Linked DNA regions of Arabidopsis thaliana. The protein of the gene in region 4 interacts with the protein of the main gene of each other region in a pairwise test. Each region holds a gene or a part of one and is shown on either strand. Other genes may lie near its edges.

Region 1 (5,080 bases), on a different chromosome or scaffold from region 4:
TTTGGGTTTGCAGTTAGCGAGGCTGAGGTTGAAGTTTTGCATGGATTGTTCATCAAACTCACTTCTTGTCTTAGCAACGACAATCTTTTGACCAAAGTTAGAGTCCAAACTAATTTTTCTTCCACAATGTGAATAATTTTTTTTTGGTCAACAAAATGTGAATAATATAACATCTAAATTTTATACTAGCTAGTTATAGAAAAGTTGTGCTTTTGTCATGTCAAATTTGGTTGGCTTTTCCAGGAAAAATTTCAATTTATCTTGATCAAGAATACCAAAAAGCGCAGTCTTTCTGCAGAACGGGTAATTGAATTTGTTATATTAAGCGAAATAAATAAATAAACTTCGATTGATGTTGTTTCTCTGAAATATGCAGATTTTTGGATTATTCGATATGAGAAACGATGGGGCTATAGATTTTGGAGAGTTTGTACACACACTCAACATTTTTCACCCAAACTCATCACCAAGAGATAAGGCCATATGTATGCTTCATCACTTCTAATGTGTTTATTCATTTATTCCATGTTATTATTATTTTCTATATAGCTAGAGATCAATGTTATTAACTATAACCACAAATACATCTGATCACTTGTTTAAAATTAAACAGTTGCATTTAGATTATACGATACTCGTGAGACTGGATTCATTGAACCGGAGGAGGTACGTATGTAAACTTTGTCTCAAAAAAAAGAAAAAGTCATGATTAATTATATTTGACGGTTTTCCTCGACTTGGAGAAATCTATAGGTGAAAGAGATGATAATAGACGTTCTAGAGGAATCAGAACTTATGCTATCCGAGAGTATCATTGATTCTATCGTGTCTAAGGTGTGTATAACGCTTAAGTTTATGAGCTTGATTTAACATTATAGTGATTTTACTTACTATTTTTGTTTACTTATATTTGGCAAAGACATTTGAAGAGGCCGATTGGAAAAAAGATGGGATAATAGATTTGGAAGAATGGGAGAATTTTGTTGCCACCTATCCTTTGACACTAAAGAACATGACTATCCCTTTCTTGAAGTAATTCGTTTGTTTGTTTTTCCTAACCATTTTCTTAATATTCGCTGATAAATTGCATGTTTTAGATACATCTTTCGTTTTACAAAAAAAGTAATATATATACATCTTTCAAAAACAGCTTTTATATATGTGTGTTTATGCATATATTACTATTATCTTCTTTTATTTTATTTTTCTTGTTTTATAAATCGAGATAATTATTCTAAAATTAACTTTTATTGTACAGGGACATTCCGAGGATTTTCCCAACCTTTCTCCGGTAAAATCAGATGAGGTGTTTGCTAGAGGTTTTTGTTTAAAAATATTTTTATCCGAAAATCACATAGGTAATTTGTTATAAGAAATATAGAAGGTTAATTATTATATAAACATATTAACTATCGAAAGAAATCTTTAATATTTAACGAGGATAGAAAGTAATTGTTTTTAACCACAAAGCTAAAGCTGTGATATGAAAACTTAAAAGCAAAGATCGGTTCGTGAAGACAAAATGGGGTTTTGGAAAAGGAAAAGAGGAAAAAGAAAAAGAACAAACGTGTGAAAATTCGAGAAAAATGGTAACACAAAAAGAAATTGGACATGATATAAGTTGCCAAAACCAAAGAGAAAAAATTGACATGATATACCAATCAAATTTTTGAATCAGGTCAACTAATCAAATTCACAACAATCATCCACAATATTATTTAGATTTGACGCTTTCACTGTTTCACATGAAAATTTTACATTTGACGCGATGACTTGTGGAGTCACGATCATTTTAGTCACTCGTTTTAAACGGATGCTTCATTCAAAAAATGTAACTTATATTCAGAAGACTCCTAACGTCCGATTCAGATTTACAAAAAAACAATATCATTGAATCGGAAAACAGAAAAGCATAGTAATATTCTAAGTATTTAATTATAATCGTGAGGAAATAGTTCCGTAATAATGGGGGAAAAATATATATATGATAAAACCAAAATGAGATTTGCCTGAAGATGCCATATGTCTGATCAAACACTCTGAGCTGTTGTGTCGATGAACTCACCATATGCCAAGATACGCTATTAGCGACAACACATTTGTATTGTCAAATGTCATTAATTAACATCCACAGGTCCAACAACAGAGAAACAAAATAATTATCACAAGTAAAATATAAAATTAGTAATATACTTGTACTTATAATTTTTGGCTTATGCCTTTTAATTTATTTTAACACTAGACTCGACGAAACTCATCACTAACATGACCACAAAAAAAAAAGATTACAATTCTAAAACACAAAGATTAAAAAAGAAAACATAACGAAGTAAAATTAAGACTAGACATCAACTTTACAAGTTGAAGGAGCGAGAAGAGGAACTTGTCCGTTAGAAGATGGATTAAATCTCAACCACACATCACATCTGGCGTAAAATCCATACCGTCCAGTCTTAATCGCACCAGCTTTCCAACGTAGCCTCCCAAAAATCACCACTCTCATCAAAACGACGCCGTAAGCTTCATCATTTTTTAAACCATTAGCTACTTCCGGCGAGACTGGTATACCGTTGCCTCCCATCACCGGAGCTATCACAACCGTAGATTTATGTCCTAAACGAAGCGGTGGTAGTGGAAGCGGCGGTGTTATGATCTGATCTTTGTACGTTACGTACATAGAGAGCTTGTCGTAGTGAATGGAGACTCTCCGGTTAGGGTTTCTTGCTAAAACGCTGAACTGAACGGAGGTTGAGATTAACGGCGGCGCTGTGAAATTCAGGTCGTAGATGGCGGCTCCGACGACGGTGAGACGTGGTTTATGTGGACGGTAGACGAGCCAAAGGATTAAGGCTATGATACCTAGTATGACAAGGATGGTGAAGATCGCGCCGCAGATTGCGCGGCGAGCATCTCCACCGCCTCCTCCGCCTTCTTTAGAGTAAGATTCTGGCGTTGAAGAAGCGGAGGGAGCGTTCTTGTGATCTGCTTTGGCTGCGTGCTCTGCTTTTGCTTCTCCTTCTCCCATGGCTATACTCTACAGATATAAGTGTTAAAGTGTGTATGTATAGGTATGTGTGTGTCTATACGAGAATCAGAGGGTTCGGTGAAGAGTGAAGACTCTAAAGAAGGAGGAGGAGAAGAAAGAAGATAAGTAGATGCAAGGTTTTGTCTCTTTTCTAGTTAATAAGAGTAAACAGTCTTCTAGAGTACAGTTTTATTAATTGTTTATTAACTTAGAAAGCTTGTAGTTGTAATTATGTGTTAAAGCTAATCTTTTTATAAAGTAGCCGTAAATTACTACTGTTTTTACATTGTGATTTTATTTTGTTATAATACTTAATGTAATAATATAAGATAGAGAAGTACTTTCGAAAGACTCCAAATCTCGGTGCAACCGTTCACGTGACGGATCTGATGAGTGATGAATTTTTTAAAAATGAAAAATCCAATGTAACGTGTATACATATGGCTATACATAATCAAATACTTTGTTGTCAATGATTGACTTATTTGGTGACAACTATGGTTTCGTGCAACGTGATAACTATCACTTTTTGGCCGTGTTAATTTTTAAAAAAATTAGAATGAAATTTATCAGGTTACGGCCTGTCAAAGTTAGCAATAACCTAATATCTGTTTGCATGCCAGAATACGGTTATGTAGAAAGAAAATTAAATTATCATATTTCACAATTCTTTATCAACTGTATAAAGCAATTAATAATAAATTAATTAGATACCACATGTGTCATATTTGTTCTAATGTTTAGAAAATAAAAGTACAAGTCTTTTATGTCCACATCTCCAACAATACTTCTGACCAAATTCCATATATTATTAGTAAGCTTCCAAAATAAATAATAATCACATTTAAGAAGAATCTGTTATTTAATCACACTAACTGAGATACCGCACCACCGACACTGTAGTCACCGACAATGCTGTGGATGCTACCTGGGCCTCAATTATAAGCCCATTATAAAATTGGGCCTACACTAAAACTATTGTGTACAGAGAGATATTTGATAATTTGCTGACTGATACAAGTCTCACTTCCAACGGCCGATTTATTAAAAAAAAACTCCGACAAATGATTCGCCGGCCGATCTACGACTTCGCCGCCGTTTTTCGCCACTTAACTTCTCCGTTATCGACATCCTCGCGTTTTCTGTTCTATTCTTCATCTGAACATGAAGCTCGAAAACCGATTGTCTCGAACCCTAAATCCCCAATCGGGTCTCCGACTCGGGTTCAAAAGCTCATAGCTTCGCAATCGGATCCTCTCCTCGCCAAGGAGATTTTCGATTATGCTTCTCAACAGCCCAATTTCCGCCATTCTCGATCTTCTCATCTAATCCTCATTCTCAAACTCGGCCGTGGTAGATATTTCAATCTTATCGACGACGTTCTCGCCAAACACAGATCAAGTGGTTATCCATTAACCGGAGAAATTTTCACTTATCTGATCAAAGTCTACGCAGAAGCAAAGTTACCGGAGAAAGTCTTAAGTACGTTTTACAAAATGCTGGAGTTCAATTTCACGCCGCAGCCAAAACATCTGAATCGGATTCTAGATGTTCTCGTAAGCCATAGAGGTTATCTCCAGAAAGCTTTTGAGCTTTTCAAGAGTTCACGGCTTCATGGAGTAATGCCTAACACGAGAAGTTACAATTTATTGATGCAAGCTTTTTGTTTGAATGATGATTTGAGTATTGCATACCAACTGTTTGGTAAAATGCTTGAGAGAGATGTTGTCCCTGATGTGGATTCTTATAAGATTCTGATACAAGGGTTTTGTAGGAAAGGTCAAGTGAATGGTGCTATGGAATTACTTGATGATATGTTGAATAAAGGATTCGTGCCTGATAGGTTAAGTTACACGACATTGTTGAACAGTTTGTGTAGGAAGACACAGCTTAGAGAGGCTTATAAGCTTCTATGTAGGATGAAGTTAAAAGGTTGTAATCCTGATCTTGTTCATTACAACACGATGATTCTCGGGTTTTGTAGAGAAGATCGTGCGATGGATGCTAGGAAAGTTCTTGATGATATGTTGTCTAACGGTTGCTCGCCTAATTCGG
Region 2 (7,412 bases), on a different chromosome or scaffold from region 4:
ACAGTGGCAAAAAAAGGTAAAAGAAAAAAAATGAGCAAACGCAATTGCAAAATCGCTAGCGTTTGGTATTGCATCTTCTAGCTCGCATAGCTCCTAAAGGAGGACCATTCAATGAAACGCTGCAATGAGTATGCAACTTATAAGAGTACCTAAACAATGGTCCTATATGCGAACGTGCATGAAACATTCCTCTCAGGTTCAACAAAACCGGACCTGTTTCAATCTGACGCTGCAGCTCCCGGCTCTGCGTTGCCTGAAGCTGGACCTGACTGCTCACAAGATGAACATTCGCAAACATTGACGTTTTCTTAGGAACCTTGAAAGGTTCAATGTATTGAGTTGCTATGAGTGTGTTGTAATAGTAAAGCTCGAATGTCACATAGCTAAACTCCACACTACTTTTCTTGCTTGGGTTTGTGACGTTTGCTAAAATGGTTAGATCACCGTTTAGAAGAAAACCCATGTCGAGATAAGCAGCGTTTAGGTTAGCAGCTGAGATGTCGACGTAAGGTGAGCGAGGACGGTAGACGAGGTAAACGATTAGGATGATAAGACCGCCGAGAATAAGAATGACCCAGAATATTGCACAGCAAAATGCAGCTGACCATGTCATTGCGTTTGTCTCTCTTGAGGGTGGTGGTAACCGTGGGCCACGGCGGTGATGCGGGGATGGTGTTGGAGCGGTTCTCCATGGACTTGGTTTGGGTATTGGAGGTAATGTTGATCCATAACCCCCTCCGTTGCGTTGTGGTGCTTGTGGTGGTGGAGGTCGTTGTTGTTGATTATCTTCAGGGCTTAATAGCAATGGTCTTTTCGATGAGTTTTGAGTTTTTCGTGGTGGAAGTCTCTCCTCTGGGCTTAATGGTACAGGTATTACAGAATGTTTCGGTTCTTGGATTGGATTTTCACGGTGGCGACCACGAGTCTTGATTAGGATTCCTGGTGGAGCTACTGGGTGAGGTTGCGTGGTTTTGTGGTGCGATTTTTTTGGGTGCGGAATGGGCGGGATGTGTGGTTGGTTCGAAGATGTTTGTGAGGTAGAAGCACCACCGCTTTTGAGATGTGGATTCTGCGATGGAATTCGCGCAAAATGAGGGTTAGTTTCATGGTGATGATGATGAGACATTTAGATGAAGAAGCTAAAAAGCATCAAAGGAAACTAAGTTAAGTAAGACTTGAGATGAAAGAATGAGAACAGAGAGATTTTGAACTGTTTTAAGTTTCTAAATGAGATAGAGAGAGGGAGAGAATAACTTGGTGACAAGTTCAAGTAAGGATTCTTTGTTGTAGAAAACAAAATAAAGAAGGAAAGTGATAGCACGAAGCAAGTAATCTTTGTTGTAGATTCCTTGCACTAAAATTAAAATCAGTTTCTAATCTCATGAAAAAGTATAAAAACATTCTCTGTATCTTTTTCTCATTCAAAAGTTTTTTTAAGAAAATTGTAATTACTCGGTCCAATTTATCTAAAACCCAAATAAAAAGATCTCGATTTTAGGAGAGACAGGGTTAAGGACTTACAGTAACAGTCATGAATATGTCAATCTTTCTACTTCAGCTCACTCCAGGGGAAAGATGTTGATTCTCAGAGCAACTTACGAAAACTTGTCGAATATGTCAGTAAACTATGAACATGTTAAGATATGTCTCCCATAGATCAAGAAGGCCGCAGATTAGTTAGCGCAAATCTGATGCGAAACACGTTGCTTCTGCAGGTAGATACTCTGTTCTCTGCTCAATTTCTGCAGCATCAAACATGAAACCAACTCTGCAATGCCGGTTACTGCAAACGTTGACAAAGACAACTACCAATCGAGCCTGACCAAACAGATACTAGTAAAAAAGCTGGAAGCAAACTGAAAACTAAACCCATACAAAAGGTATTTTCCACGATCTTCGGTGCAATTGTTCTTCCTATATCTCTTATCCCCATTCTTTGGCATGGCATGGTATATAGTAACATGAATATACATAAAATGAAAGTGTAAACGCCTGGAAAGAGCTAACCTACGCTTTACACGCGAAGAAAGCAGAACAATCTCAGAGTAATCATGGCCGGAACAAGAAACACAATTCAAGCACAGAGACCCACAGAACACAGTCATACAGAGTGCAGGAGAAGCAACGCACTTGCCCTGAAACAACTTTCAATACATGTACTCCTAAGATCTGATGTTCTTTCTCAAGATCATTGAAAACTTACGAAAGAGAAGCCATAGAGTAAACAACTAATCAAATCCAAAATTCCAATTCCACATTGATTCAACTCATCAAAAGTTCAAAATGTAAAACTGTGTTATATCACACACAGATACTAGTACTGATCAACATAGCAGCACTCTTGCTTCACCTCAGCTCTCATAAACCTCTGCAAAGAATAACAATAAGAAATACGCAAGATCTTACTAAACTAAACAACACCATTAAAACCCTAAAAAATGTGAAGCTTTTGAGAAAAATCAGAAAACATTACCTGACTTTCTTGATGAGGATTGATTGGAGTTTTCGAGCAAAGTCAATGGATTTGATTCTGCGTTCAAGATTCTTCCTAGCGAGAACCTTCTTCTCCGAATTCTTAATGTGATGAGTCTGAGTCCCTTTGATCAGCCTCTCCATTCCACTCGATTGCATCTTCTTCTGCAAAATCGTCAGTGCCTTGTCTAAATCATTGGAGAACACCTTCACTCTTATCCCTCGCTCTTGCTGCAACTGCTGGTTTAGACTCGGACGAGTCACCAACCCCGTAACTCGCTTCGCTATCGTGTTCATCTCTTTTACTTGTTTTCTGAAAAAGTATGTTTCTGAAAACGTAAATGAGATTGACGAGAGACAGTGATAGGATCTGAATTCGACTTACCGGTCGGAATCTCGCCGGAGAGAATCAAAGAGCCAATTTGAGTGATGATGGAGAATGTCTAGGTTAAAAAAGAGGCGATGGAGGAAATGAGATAAAAACCAGAGAATTTACTAATATAGGGGTGGTTATGTAAGTTTTATGAGATATAGGGATGTTTTTGTAAATATCCTTAAATCTAATCTTCTGTTTGATTCAGAGAGTATTGACTTTAAAGAAGAACATTCAAGCCTTTCAAAAAAAAAAAGCTTCTTTAATTTCTCTCTCTCTCTGTGGAGTGTTCGAATCTCCAAGCTCTCTCTCAAATGGCAGCGTCCACATAGTAGAGCTGAAGAAGCACTGTATCTATCTACAGAGAAAGTGAAGAGGAAGAAAAGGAAGAGAGGATATAGAAATTAAGCTGGCGACTTTTAGTCCGAGGCGAGCAATGGCAGAGTTACGGCACTCGAGCTCTCTCGGTAGCCGATCTTCTTCTTCTCCGTTACGTGCCGCCGGAGATGAGGATTCTTCATCGCCTCATGTACACGATCACTCTCCTAACGGCGGAGACGACGAAGATGGTCGCCCACGTCATCCTTCTAGAGATCGAGACCGTCCGATCTGGTTTCACTCTTTGTTTCCTTTCTTCGGTGATGATCCTAGGGTTTCTCCTCAGAAGAATAAAATCTCGCTTCTATTGATTTTGATTCTCGCTATTGCTAGCTTGATCTCAGTTTATGGGATTATTAATCACTTGGTAAGTCTCTTCCTTCGATCTAGGAATTGAGATCTTCAAGGCTCTATGTTCTAACTGTGGAATCGATTTGGAAAAGTATTTAGCTTTGTTTTGAGTAAAGGGGTTTGTTTATTTAGGTGGATTTGGATTGACATTGTTCTCAGACTAAGATTGCTTCTATGTCTATCTTCTGCAGAATGCTCCTTATTTATGTAAAAAAGATGGGATTGTGCTAAACTGTCCTCATGTAAGTGTTTGAAAACTTTGGTTATGTGTTTTGTTGAATGCATAAGCTTTGAATCCTGTAAATTTAATTGTGTGTTGGTTTGCATTTGTAAGGTAAAAGAGTCACCTTCTCCTTGGGAGAATCCTTTATCTGCAACAACTTCTTGGAAGCCTTGTGCTGAGCGGCGGATTGGTGGAATCTCAGGTATTGAAGGGCTAGAGCATTGTCATTTTCATTGTCATGTGTTATTTTTTTTTTTTATTTTTTTTTTTTCGTCGAAACACATTGTCATGTGTTATTGATCTGTCTTTTCGTGAAAGTTCAAGTCTTTTTCCTTGGTTAGCTTATTAGATTGTGTCAACTGTTTTTTTCAGATCTTCCTCCTGAGAATGAAACAAATGGCTATGTATTCATTCATGCTGAAGGTGGTTTGAATCAGCAGCGAATTGCTGTATGTATCTTCCAACTTTTATCTCTTTTTCTTCTCGCCATTATCCAATCATGGATCAATGTCTAAATGGCTGTTGTTCTTCTTGCCATCGTCCAATCTTGAATTCATGCCCTTTTGTTTCCAGATCTGCAACGCAGTAGCTGTTGCCAAGATTATGAATGCAACACTGATTCTACCAGTACTGAAGCAGGACCAAATATGGAAAGACACAACGTAAAATCATATTCAGATATTGATTTCATTTCATCTTGAATTACTTCTCTATTTTCTTTTTGGTTTACTGAGCTTGTTAACTTTCTTTTGCAGAAAATTTGAAGACATTTTTGATGTAGATCATTTCATTGATTACTTGAAGGATGATGTCCGAATTGTTCGAGACATACCTGACTGGTTCACTGACAAAGCAGAGCTATTCTCTAGTATAAGGTTTGCTTGTCAACTCATTATTTGTTGATGATGTACTTGTTGGACGATTTCAAAAGTTAGCTTGTGGAATTATGGCGTCACTGGGTGCTCCTTGTGTATATCTCTGATTTAAAAATCGATCTGTATTTTTTAATCAGATATGATGTTGACCAAGTTATTTATTTATCTTCTGCAGAAGAACAGTCAAAAACATTCCCAAATATGCAGCAGCCCAATTTTATATTGACAATGTTTTACCTCGGATAAAGGAGAAGAAGATAATGGCCTTGAAGCCTTTTGTCGATCGACTTGGGTATAACCAATATTCCTATAGTTTAGTGCTCAGATTTTGGAAATCGTCTTATAAACAATGAATGATTTATTCTTGTGATGCTGGAAATTTTTTCAGGTATGACAATGTACCTCAAGAAATCAACAGATTACGATGCCGTGTAAATTATCATGCTCTCAAATTTCTTCCAGAGATAGAGCAGATGGCTGATTCACTTGTTTCTAGAATGAGAAATCGCACTGGAAATCCAAATCCATATATGTATGCCATATCAGAGATTCGACTTTGTTATAACTTAGGACCATATGCATTATATCAACTTAAAACTATACCCATGTCTCTTGTATAGGGCTCTTCATCTTAGATTCGAGAAAGGAATGGTTGGTCTATCGTTCTGTGATTTTGTGGGGACAAGGGAAGAGAAAGTTAAAATGGCAGAATACAGACAAAAGGAATGGCCTCGGCGTTTCAAGGTGACATTTATAAGCAGTTGTCAACTTCTTTTGGTGGCTAAACAACCTCAACCGCTACCTTAATGAAATTTCTTGACATATATTGCAGAATGGTTCCCATCTCTGGCAGCTCGCCTTGCAGAAGCGCAAAGAAGGTCGATGCCCTCTTGAGCCAGGAGAAGTTGCTGTGATCCTACGTGCAATGGGCTATCCAAAAGAAACACAAATCTATGTTGCATCTGGTCAAGTCTATGGCGGTCAAAACCGTATGGCTCCACTAAGAAACATGTTCCCAAATTTGGTAAGCACAACACCGGACTCTTATAATTCTTTGATGAATCAGCACAAACTTGTCTCTCACATTAACTGTCCTTTGAATCAGGTAACAAAGGAGGATTTAGCAGGCAAAGAGGAACTAACAACGTTTAGAAAACACGTTACAAGTCTTGCGGCTCTAGATTTCTTGGTGTGCTTGAAATCAGATGTATTTGTGATGACACACGGTGGAAACTTTGCAAAACTGATCATCGGAGCGCGTAGATATATGGGGCATCGCCAGAAATCAATCAAACCGGATAAAGGGTTGATGTCGAAATCATTTGGGGATCCTTACATGGGATGGGCAACTTTTGTGGAAGATGTAGTTGTAACCCATCAAACACGAACCGGTTTACCTGAAGAAACTTTCCCTAACTATGATCTTTGGGAAAATCCTCTCACTCCATGCATGTGTAAAGCTTGATGATGATGCTTTTGTTTGGTCTTGGATTTTGTCTGATGAGGAGCAACAAACTATAGAGATTCGTAGTTTTCTTCTTCTTCTTCTTCTTTTTTGACCTTTCAAATCTTTGAAGTCTTCATTTACCATCTTTGTAATCATTTTGATATTATGTAAAGTTCCTAGTGATGAAAAAAAAGTTTCTTTTTTATATTAAATTTGATCAAATTGATGCACTAAACTTTAATTAAAAGAAAATTAGCTCAACGGTTACTAATCCAATTCTTAATTTTTTGTCACGCTCTCTAATAGTACCCGCCATTAACACAACCATTGCGTGTTGTCTTCTCTCTTACTCTCAGGTTCTCAACAACAAAAGAGGAAAACAAAATCAGAAGCTATCGTAATCAGTTCTCATCTCTATGACCGGACTATCCGTAGAGAAAACCGGGTCGACCCGGTCCACTGTCTTCTTCATCATCTTTAATCTATCCATTTTTAGGTACTCCGCTTCACTGGGTTTTTGAATTTGATTTTGGTTTTTGAGTGGGTGGTGTTTGAGTGATCGATCAATCACAAAAGTTTCGTCTTTTTCAGTTTATCGATTGAAGCAAGGTCGAGGCAACAACATGCTAGCTTTCCTCCAAGAGGATGGAATTCGTACGATTCCTTTTGTTGGACTATCTCTGAAGCTGAGTTCTTGCAGAGTGCTGAAATTGTTTCTAAGCGTCTTCTTCCTCATGGTTATCAGGTAATTGTGAGTTTCTTTATCCTTTAGAATGTAAAAGTTTAGGTTTTTAATTGCTTGTGTTTGTGTGTGTTGATTTGGATACAGTATGTTGTGGTGGATTACCTTTGGTATAGAAAGAAAGTTGAAGGAGCTTATGTGGATTCTCTTGGGTTTGATGTGATTGATGAATGGGGAAGATTGCATCCTGATCCAGGTAGATGGCCATCTTCTAGAGGCGGTAAAGGTTTCACTGAAGTTGCTGAGAAAGTTCATAGAATGGGTTTGAAGTTTGGGATTCATGTTATGGGAGGAATCAGCACACAAGCTTATAACGCAAATAGTCTCGTTATGGATAGTGTTAAGGTATTGAGTTGATTGATTCTTTCTGAGTTTATGAAGTTTGTTTGGAAGTTATCAACAAGTGAATCTTTTAATGGTTGAAGGGAGGTGCTTATGAAGAATCAGGTAGACAGTGGCGAGCGAAAGATATTGGGATCAAGGAGAGGGCTTGTGTTTGGATGTCGCATGGGTTCATGAGTGTGAATACCAAGTTAGGTGCAGGAAAAGCA
Region 3 (4,525 bases), 3.5 Mb from region 4:
CCTTTTCAACCATTGTACGAACACGCAGCTACAACAGGAGAGATAATAAAACCCATCAGTATGTTTAACTCAGCCATCACTTAATATAACTCAGTCGTCACTTAATATAACTCAGCCATTATAGAACATAATTCAGTCGTCACATAACATATTTGCCAAAAAAAAAGAATATAACTCAGCCTTCACAGAGAAAAATAAAACATTAACTCAGCCGTAACATAAATATTTGATAAAAAACAGAACATAACAGAGCCGAAACCGTACCTCACCACCATTCGCTTTGATATCTTCAGCAATGACCGATTCTATAGTTGAACGGGTACGGCTGCCACCCCATCTAAGCAACGGAATCTCATCCGCGTTAACAGCGTTCCCAAAACGCTCAGCGATGGTGATGATTGACTCATACGCCCAAGCCTGCAACACGAAAACCAGACCACTGACAGTGTACGTCTTGCCAATAGGCCTCAGCAACTTTATAGAAACGACAAGGGCTTCATATGCTGCCCGACCCCATGGATAAGTCTTCATGGCTTCGTCGTCGAAAACTCTTTTGGCACTCTCAAATGGTATCCTAGAGTTAGTATGCAAGCCAAAAAGTCCAATGGATAGAAGAGTCAATAACCCAAACCATCTACGTTTTTCAGTAGGCCAAGCTCTGCACGTTACTAAGCCCTGCCTAAGTTCATCTAGATTAGGACCTTCACCGGTTGGCACACGCAATTCACTGAAGAACGCTTTGTAGTCAGCTTCAGGCTCAAACTTTTCTGTAGGCAGATCATCTATATTTAAACCAGTGATATGATGAAATTCGTTCAATCCAAACCGGATGGGTTTACCAGCCACGATACACCAAAGCTCCTTCTTCAGTATTCTCAGCTGTCTGCATAGTAGATAATGTACGGTCTTACCAGACCAGAGAAAATGACTATCAACAAGCTTAGCAATTAATCCAAGCTCTGTCTCTTTCAGTTCTGCCCATATTTCTTCTCCTATTGATTCTCTAATTGCAGGGAACTCTCCCAGCTTTATATTATGATTAATGCCTTTACCCTCCAGATTAGAATCCCCCTCTTGGTAAAGTCTTGGAGGGTACTCCCTTGCTTGGTCTTCAGACATCTGTATAACCATAAATCAGCCGTAAGCATTCCATAACTCAGTCATAACATAAAACAAACTCATCCACAGATACCATAACTCAGGCAAAACATAAATCTAACTCAGCCATAGATAACATAACTCAGTCATAACATAAACCTATCTCAGCCATAGATAACATAACTCAGTCATAACATAAACCTATCTCAGCCACACATAACATAACTCAGCCATAAGATAAATCTAACTCAGCCATATTTTAACAGAAACTCAGTCAAACCATAACATAACAACAGCTCAGTTAAAACATAAACCAGACTCAGCTATATCAAAACAGAAACTCAGCCATAACATAAACAAACTCAGCCGTCATATAACAGAAACTCAGACATCGATGTAAGGTTAAACCATAACTCAGTCACAGCATAAAAAAAACTCAGACACGGATGAATTGATAAATCATAAATCAGTCGGCAAACAAACAGTAACTCAGCCGTCAAATCAAATAGATCTAAGAAATCGGCCACCATATGTCAATCAACGTCGACGTTAAAACCCAGCTTTAAAAACCATCGTTACGCATCGGAAAACGATTTCAGTGACGGGAATCACTTGAGATTGAACTTAGATGTCAGAGTCTTACTTCATTGAAAGATACTCACCGGAACTTAGATGTCGAATGTGACTTCGCGCTTACGTAAATGCGACTCCGGCGTCTGAATTTCGGCCGGAACAGACGAGAAAAGAGCAAAACGGCGAAAGAAATCGATTTCGTTCCGTCGAGAGAGAAAGTGGAAGAAAGCGACAGTTTTTTTTTTTTTTGGGAGATGATGAACAGTAAAGCTAAGAAATAAGAAACCCAAACGTTATGGAGTTTGGAGATAATTAATGACGTGGATTATGGTAATGACATGGAATAATGACATGTATAATCACTGTTTTTTCATTTAATTTTTAGTTAAAAACGAATTAAATAATAATAATTAATTAAAACTAATTAGGGGTGTTAATTGTAATTACACAATAACTGAAAACATCTGAGTAATAAAAAAAAGATGTGTTCTACTGTAGGAATAAACATACAAATGTGTTCTATCTTAGGAATTAGTTCAAATTAAATTGTCTTTTCCCAAAGCCGTCCTTTAAACCCGACGAAGTTGTTTAAGCAGCTTAAATTAAGCTCCTTGAAAGATTAAGCATTTCTGGAATTTTTATCGACTTTAATTAGAGAAAAATAAAATATTTTTTGATATTCCTTGTAAAAATCTGAAGAATAAAGTTTACTCCACTTATTACCGACACAAAAAAAGTTGTTCCACTTATTAAAAAAAAGTTATTCAGTTATAATTTTTTTAAAAAAATCCTCTGTTATATATCTCTCACTATCTTTTATTTGGTTCTTTCCAGAAACAATTGATCAGAGCTTTAAAGAAAAAGATGGAATTCACCGCAGAGCAGCTAAGCCAATACAACGGCACCGACGAATCAAAGCCGATCTACGTCGCAATCAAAGGCCGTGTGTTCGATGTCACCACCGGAAAATCCTTCTACGGCTCCGGAGGCGATTACTCGATGTTCGCCGGAAAAGACGCGAGCAGAGCTTTGGGTAAGATGAGTAAGAACGAAGAAGATGTGTCTCCTTCTCTTGAAGGTCTCACTGAGAAAGAGATCAATACTCTTAATGATTGGGAGACCAAATTTGAAGCTAAGTATCCTGTCGTTGGCCGTGTTGTCTCTTAGGTCTCTCTTCTGAGATTGCACTATGTTATGTAACTATTGTGTGTGAGGATCTTTGTGTTGTGTGTTTTCTGATTTCGTGTTTGGATCTGATCGTTTTGATACAATTACCATAAGTACCAAATTATCTATGAAATAAATCGGGGATTTCGTGTTCTCAGTGGTCTTCATATTCTGATCTTAAGGTTACTTTGTTGTGCTTACCAAAAAAAAAAGGTTACTTTGTTGTGATGATTAGGATTTTAGGAGTTTTAAGTCTCATATGTATTTGATGAGAGGATATAAAGATTGGTTTGTGTCTTTCATATCTTGCAAATACTTGGAGCTAATTGTGTCTGGTGAAAGAAAAACTGATGGTTTCTGAAATCTGAGCAACACCAAACTTACTGGTAGTTTTGGATTCGGTGTAAATTATCTTACAAGTTCCAAGTTGTTGTTAATTTTAGTCTTTTGCGTTATGAGATTTGGAAGAATATAGTTATGATGAACATTCAGAATTCATAGAAGCTAATGTGTGTCTTCTTTGATTCTTTCTTACTTCTCCCGGTCTAAATTATTATCATCACTTGTATGACTTCGGCCCTGTTCGGCATGGCGTTCTTGCGACTAATATGTTGCTTTAACGCCAAGTCTTAGGTTTGAGGGAGAGCTGTTCATGGGTAGAGTTGTTCTTGGCTCGAGTTGACTTGTGTCGTGTGTAGTGGCTGTGGCCTATAGCTATGCTTGTTTATCAAGAGAGAGGCATCCTAACTTAGATATTATTTTGACATTTTAAATAAAAAAATGCACAAACCACCACCTCCAAGAACTAGCTACCTTGCTGGATTTGAACCAAACCTAGAACATAAATGAGGAGACGTGGAGGGGTAGGAGATTCGGCACCATGTTGATCCTCAGGTAGGTATTTATCCTTTCCCACAATTTGTAAAACGTTGTTGGAGAACCCGGGGTGATTACAAGACACTACAACTTTGTTCTCTATGTCGACTAAGAAACTCAACCCAAAACATAACCCTAAATGATAGCGGTCATCAAATTTCGACACTGTCAGGAACTTGCTCTATGAAATGGCTTCGTACTCTCCATCTTATTCGCTATCCATACCTCAGAGCTCTGAGCAGCAAATATACAAAGTTGTTGCGCTTCTCTAGTCATTGACAAAGTCGCAAAACAATAAGAACGAGGCGATCTTAAATATTAACCAAAGAGAGTTCGCCCTAGGTCTTCTCTCCCGGGCACGATCTCCGAGGAAGCCGCCCCTCCATGCTCCAAGACAAGATGGACCTCCGCCGCCGCTGCTCCGCCGCTCAATTATCCTCTTCCTTCTGAAGCCGCTCTGCTCTTCCTTCTCGGGTCAGATCCTCGTCGTTCGTCGGAACCCGTTGTCGCCTGCGAGTAGTCTTTGGCTAGTAATTCAGCTCTGATGGTTGCTTCGTTCTCAACTCTCCCGTCGTCGAGCTCCTCCGTTTGGACTGTGAACACCGCTCACCTCCGGATGCTGTTCTTTCGGGTATCGCTGGATCCTCCCAAGCCTCCGGTGCCTCCAGATCCGGTACCTCCAGAGCCTCCTCCTCGTTGTTGTAGCGATTTTCCATCGTCTCCCTCATGGTATTCCTTGTTTGTTGGATCCTCCATCTCCTTTCCCTCGTCATTGAGGCTTATTATAAATTATATGCAAGTGTTTTCTATG
Region 4 (5,195 bases):
TTCAGGATCAGAAACTTGACAAACTCGTGACCTCTCCAGCAAATATGTTCTAATAGCAGCTCCTGAGATTCTTCCCATATGATTGAACTGAATCTCCACAAATTTACCAAAACGACTGCAATATGAGATTTGCCTACATATGTCAAGGTTGACTTCAAGAACATACATAAACTTGAAAAATCAAGAAATGTGAATGACATTCCACCTTGAATTATTGTTTCTGACGGTTTTTGCATTACCAAAAGCTTCTAAAACTGGATTTGACTGCATAACAGGATCATAATACGAGAAGAATAAGAAGATATCTACAGAGAGAAACTCAGTGAGTCTGTCTCTAGTAAGAATGTAGATGCATTGTAAACAGACTATCTACCTCCAAAACTTGCTGTTCGACAGATCGTCCTTCACTCTCAGCTTTTCCACCCATGTATGCAAGATATTGCATGAGCATTTTTGTGCTCTCTGTCTTCCCAGCACCGCTTTCTCCACTCACCAAGATCGCCTGGCTTACTCCCTCGTTGATCATTTTTCTAAATTTATATTCTTGATGATGGTGAGGCCCAAAAAAAAATGATAGTGCAACATTAGTTAAAGTTTCATCTATGCAACAAAAGATTACCTGTATGCAGAATCAGCAACAGCAAAAGGATGTGGGCTTAACTCGCCAAAATCTGTGCCCTTATATTGCTCCATTATCTCATTTCCATATAGGTGGGGTAATCTTTTAAAGGGATTCACAGCTATCAGTATATTCCCTGTGTATGTCTGTAACCATCAAGAAGAAATTAGCTTGCTACAAACACTTCAGAGAAATATTAATGATATTGCTATAACTGTGCAGTAATTTTCAGCAAAACAATGGTAGAGATAATCATAGAATTCATAAGTGGGTGTAATGAAAGAAGGAAAACTGACAAGAGTTACATGCTGAAGCGTACATATATTTCATTTGCATTGTATCTGGCTTTTAGATTGAGAAGAACCCCTGGTTCATGCAAATACGCAAGCTTTGTCATGTCGTCCACACCAAGCTCAGGAAACTCAGGATCCTTGGGGTGGACAGCATTAACCTTTGCCACAACCTACAAACAAATGCATCACAAATATGAGCAATGTATTCTTAAGGTACCTTAAGAACTAACACATTGTCTCGTTGCTTTGGAGAAAAGGGACTAACCGTCTTGGTTTGGCAATTAACTTTGATCTCTTGACCGTTAGCTTCCACAACTTCTCCATCTAGCCAGGCTTCATCTGGATCTTCCACCCAGACCTGTGACCCCACAGTTACCTTCACTGAAGCCTGATTAAAGTAGAATATATTAGAAACAAATAAAAAAAATATTGTCAAGCTTCATTAGCTGGTTCTTTTGTTCTCTTTTAGACACATCTTATAATGAAATCTAAAATGTAAGGGGCAACATAAAAATCAGCTCAAATAGCAATTATGGTTACAGAAGATAAAAAAAAAAAGGTAAAAATGAAGAACACGGAGAAATCGCAATGCAGATAAGAGAAGAGAGACTCGTACCATTATCACGGCCAAATCTGGTCTGATTTTCCTAGAAATGATCCCGAATAAAGATTTCCAACGGGAGAAACATTAGAAAAAATCCCTGAGAACCCAATCAGCTGGTGTTTCCACACCATGGATCCAAACACCATAAATCAAACACAAAACGCTTCTCTCTCTCTACTAGCTTCAAAATCTCTGATCGACGTTATAAATGCGGAAGATTAAGACTACATTCACGTTTTACGGACGATATTTCAAATTTCTCCGACGATTACAGAGACCTTAAACCCTTCGGCTTTTGCCTTCCAATATTTCCCCAGGAAAGCTGGAGATTCTCGCAGAACGTAAGAAATTTTCTCGCGTTTTCCCTCGGAATATTCTCTCCTGGTTTTTTTTTGTTTTTGCCTTGTTTGATGCTTCGTCTCTCTCTCCCTCGTTTCTGGAAAAAGGAAGAGAAAAGAGAATCCACGTAGGCGTGTCAGGTCAGACATTTGATGATCTCGAAATTACCCCTGCAATTATACCGGATTTCAGTTCTAACATTTCTCCTGGACCAAGCCGGTTTATAGTATTCGATTCTAATGGAGGAGATGATGACAACGTGGCGCAAGTTGAGTGTGTCTATACATGGAGCAGAGCATTTTCTTCACTGTTCTCGCTTCGCCAGACGTTAATGGCGGATAGAGGAGCTCTTTCGTTACCGCGAGCTTCTACTTATCTTAGTTTCTCAAACCTCCATGTCTGGCGATTCCACAACCCTAGATCTTATCCTCCCTCTCGTTCTCAACTCCTCTGTTTCTCTTCCTCATGCTCTAGAGTAACTTCGGCGAAGATAATTCAGCTGAACCGCCGGAGATTCAGCTATAAAATATGCGCCGCCGCTGATGACGGTAGGGGATACCGTTTGACGGAAAGGGGAAAAAGGGGAAGGAAGCGGCGGGAGCTATGGGAAGAACTTTTTGAAGATAATGTTGAAGACGATGATGATGAAGATGATGGTGGTGGTGGAATTGGTAGTGCTAATTTTGACCTGTGGAAGATCTTAGAGGAAATTGTAGATAATGTTTGGATTTTAAAGGTAATTAGTTTCAATCATGCATCTTTTAAGCCTTAATTATGAAATTAGCCGGGAATCTACTACTGCTAATTGAAAATGCTGATTGATTAAAGTATCAAAATTGTTCTTTGGTAATGGTTATGGTGATCATGTAAGAAACAGTTAATATCGTTGTGTAGTGAATCTGAACTAGTTTTGATTTCTAACTAGATAGTGTCTTTCTGCTCAAAGATAAGAGAAACGGCTTTGTTGATATATAGCTGCATTTTATTTGCATACACCAGATTTTGCTCTCTTATTGTTGGTGTGGGATCTTTATTGTGTTTGGTTTATGTTCACTTTGTAGGCATTCAAATCGTATGGATATCTCCTCCCATTCATCATCTTATCGCTTTTCTTCAGCACCGGACCCAAAGCTTTCCTCGTGTCACTAGCCGTAGCAATCGGGCCATCATTGTTATTTTATGCGTTCCAGAAGTTGATTGGTTGGGATAAACGCAGAGGTACATCAATAGCAAATCAATTCGGGATAGAGGAAGAAGAAGAAGAAGTGGAGAGAAGTAGTAGCAGGATTCGATACAACCCATCAACCGTTAGAAACAATGTCAATGGCCGTGGAGTTAACCGTAGTTCAGCTGGAATGGCTTCTAAGTTTGGTGGGTGGGACGAGTTAGACGGGCTTGGTACCACCATTCCCGAACGGCCAACAAGCGAACCGAAGAAGAAACCGTTACCGAAGAGGAAGAGAGTAAGAAGAGAAAAGGCAGCAGAACCATTATTGTTGAGATTGTTGGTGTCTTTGTTTCCATTCTTAAGCACATACACAAACATGCTCAAGTGAAAAACCACTAAACCAAAACAAACCAAGTTGTTCAAATTAAACCGAACCGAAATTGGTTAAAAATAGAGAATAATTATGAGCCTCAATTTCAGTTTGAGCATCACCATTTCTTTTCCATGACTTTCCTCTTATCAAGAACATTTATTTCTCTCACTCTCAGACCTTCTTGTTCGATTTCCATGGCGAATTTAACGACGAACGCTAAAACTCGCCTGAGAGGTGTTGTATTCGATATGGACGGAACCCTGACTGTTCCGGTCATCGATTTCGCCGCAATGTATAGAGCTGTTCTTGGTGAAGATGCTTACAAGCGAATCAAAGCAGAGAGCCCTAGTGGGATTGATATTCTGCATCATATTGAGTCGTGGAGTCCTGATAAACAGCAGAAGGCGTATGAAATCATTGCTGATTATGAGAAACAAGGAATAGATAAGCTTCAAATCATGCCTGGTACGGATTCATCTGCTTTATTTTTTTATTTTTGATTTTGTGTTTGCGCTGAGGAAGTGTTAAGGATTTGGGTTTTCGTCTGATAATCTATCGTAAAATGGGTTAAAGATTGAGAATTTCGTAGAGTTAAAGATGAGAAAAGATTGCAAATTCAAGGCTGAAAGATAAAATGAACATTTGTTAAAAGTGAAGACTTTATGGTCTAACGGAGGTTTGACTTTTGTCTTAGAGCCCCACATCACGATTTGAGATCATTCCTTTACTGGTCATTGACTTTATGCTGTTGAGTTCTATAAGATGATTTAGCAGTTGAAAATCTAGAAGGAGTACTGTGTTTCTTTGGCGTTTAGAGGTTTAATTCTCTTCTGATATGTGATCATTTATGTGGCAGGTACTGCTGAACTATGTGGCTTCCTTGATTCCAAAAAGATAAAGTCTGTGGTTTTCAGATACTTCTGTCTATGATTTTTTGTTTTCTTGTTCAGATAACTTGACTGTTGTTACATTTTGTATTTTACTTTATAGGAGGGGGCTAATTACACGCAATGTTCAAAAGGCAATCGACATCTTCCATCAACGTTTTGAGGTAAGAATGTTGAATTGAAGACATTTTGACAGCTGCCTGAGATAGGTTTAGCTGGATCATTCTTTTTTTTTTATCAGAGAGAAGAAATCTGAGGCAGTTCCTTACAGTTATTTTTCATTGTATAGGTTATCTTTTCTCCAGCACTAGGCAGAGAGTTTCGTCCATATAAACCAAACCCAGACCCGCTGTTGCATATATGTTCTACATGGGACATCCAACCTAATGAAGTCATGATGGTTGGTGACAGCTTAAAAGATGATGTGAGTGACAGACATGATGACAAGCCTTTGGTCAACCCTTTCTCCATAGCAAATCGATAAGCAATGCAATGAAAGAAGCTTAAACAATGGATCTTCTCATGCCATTGCTTAAAGATTTTCTATGTGGAAAGGATGCCTACCAACTTTTCAGACTATTTTTCTCACATCTTTACTGAAGATTACAACTGGTAATCGATCTTTCTTTTCTCGATTCTGCAGATAGCATGTGGGAAACGAGCTGGAGCCTTCACTTGCTTGCTAGATGAAACCGGAAGGTATGGACCAGACGATTTTTCTGTTTCCGGTCTGCAACCTGATTTTAAGGTTGATTCCTTGTCCAAAATCCAGAACCTATTGGAGACGAACTTCGACCTGAACCCGTAGTTTTTCCAAGTTCCTCATCTTGTAGTTTCAGTGACCAAATTAGTGTCCTACTCAACACAGTATCTGTTCAGGATAGCCATAAATGTCAAACCACGGAATTCTAT

Evidence for each region.
Region 1: the proteins of AT2G33250 (region 4) and AT4G01410 interact in a protein complementation assay, tested with the Arabidopsis thaliana proteins (one large-scale study listed by BioGRID).
Region 2: the proteins of AT2G33250 (region 4) and AT3G26370 interact in a protein complementation assay, tested with the Arabidopsis thaliana proteins (one large-scale study listed by BioGRID).
Region 3: the proteins of AT2G33250 (region 4) and MAPR2 interact in a protein complementation assay, tested with the Arabidopsis thaliana proteins (one large-scale study listed by BioGRID).

The regions. Positions count from the first base shown.
Region 1 is NC_003075.7:576,253-581,332, reverse strand, and holds AT4G01410 (Late embryogenesis abundant (LEA) hydroxyproline-rich glycoprotein family), read right to left. Parts: upstream 3,306-5,080; 5' UTR 3,026-3,305; coding exon 2,342-3,025; 3' UTR 2,046-2,341; downstream 1-2,045. Other genes in the region: CBL5 (calcineurin B-like protein 5), read left to right, coding at 14-96, 244-303, 377-485, 614-666, 754-834, 920-1,032, 1,259-1,295; AT4G01400 (oligomeric golgi complex subunit-like protein), read left to right, coding at 4,090-5,080.
Region 2 is NC_003074.8:9,653,605-9,661,016, forward strand, and holds AT3G26370 (O-fucosyltransferase family protein), read left to right. Parts: upstream 1-3,075; 5' UTR 3,076-3,281; coding exon 3,282-3,590; intron 3,591-3,765; coding exon 3,766-3,816; intron 3,817-3,908; coding exon 3,909-3,999; intron 4,000-4,169; coding exon 4,170-4,246; intron 4,247-4,370; coding exon 4,371-4,459; intron 4,460-4,552; coding exon 4,553-4,672; intron 4,673-4,847; coding exon 4,848-4,964; intron 4,965-5,060; coding exon 5,061-5,204; intron 5,205-5,292; coding exon 5,293-5,416; coding exon of another isoform or gene 5,417-5,479; exon of another isoform or gene 5,480-5,504; coding exon 5,505-5,696; intron 5,697-5,777; coding exon 5,778-6,137; 3' UTR 6,138-6,341; downstream 6,342-7,412. Other genes in the region: AT3G26350 (proline-rich receptor-like kinase), read right to left, coding at 56-1,126; AT3G26360 (Ribosomal protein S21 family protein), read right to left, coding at 2,359-2,368, 2,474-2,769; AT3G26380 (Melibiase family protein), read left to right, coding at 6,536-6,615, 6,711-6,864, 6,949-7,206, 7,287-7,412. UniProt on the Arabidopsis thaliana protein: Glycosyltransferase involved in the biosynthesis of pectic type-II arabinogalactans.
Region 3 is NC_003071.7:10,606,912-10,611,436, forward strand, and holds MAPR2 (membrane-associated progesterone binding protein 2), read left to right. Parts: upstream 1-2,505; 5' UTR 2,506-2,535; coding exon 2,536-2,838; 3' UTR 2,839-2,989; downstream 2,990-4,525.
Region 4 is NC_003071.7:14,095,268-14,100,462, forward strand, and holds AT2G33250 (uncharacterized protein), read left to right. Parts: upstream 1-2,101; 5' UTR 2,102-2,186; coding exon 2,187-2,591; intron 2,592-2,916; coding exon 2,917-3,411; 3' UTR 3,412-3,484; downstream 3,485-5,195. Other genes in the region: XID (myosin XI D), read right to left, coding at 1-115, 206-264, 374-530, 620-765, 939-1,082, 1,178-1,300, 1,591-1,647; AT2G33255 (Haloacid dehalogenase-like hydrolase (HAD) superfamily protein), read left to right, coding at 3,528-3,861, 4,253-4,295, 4,387-4,447, 4,573-4,707, 4,927-5,091.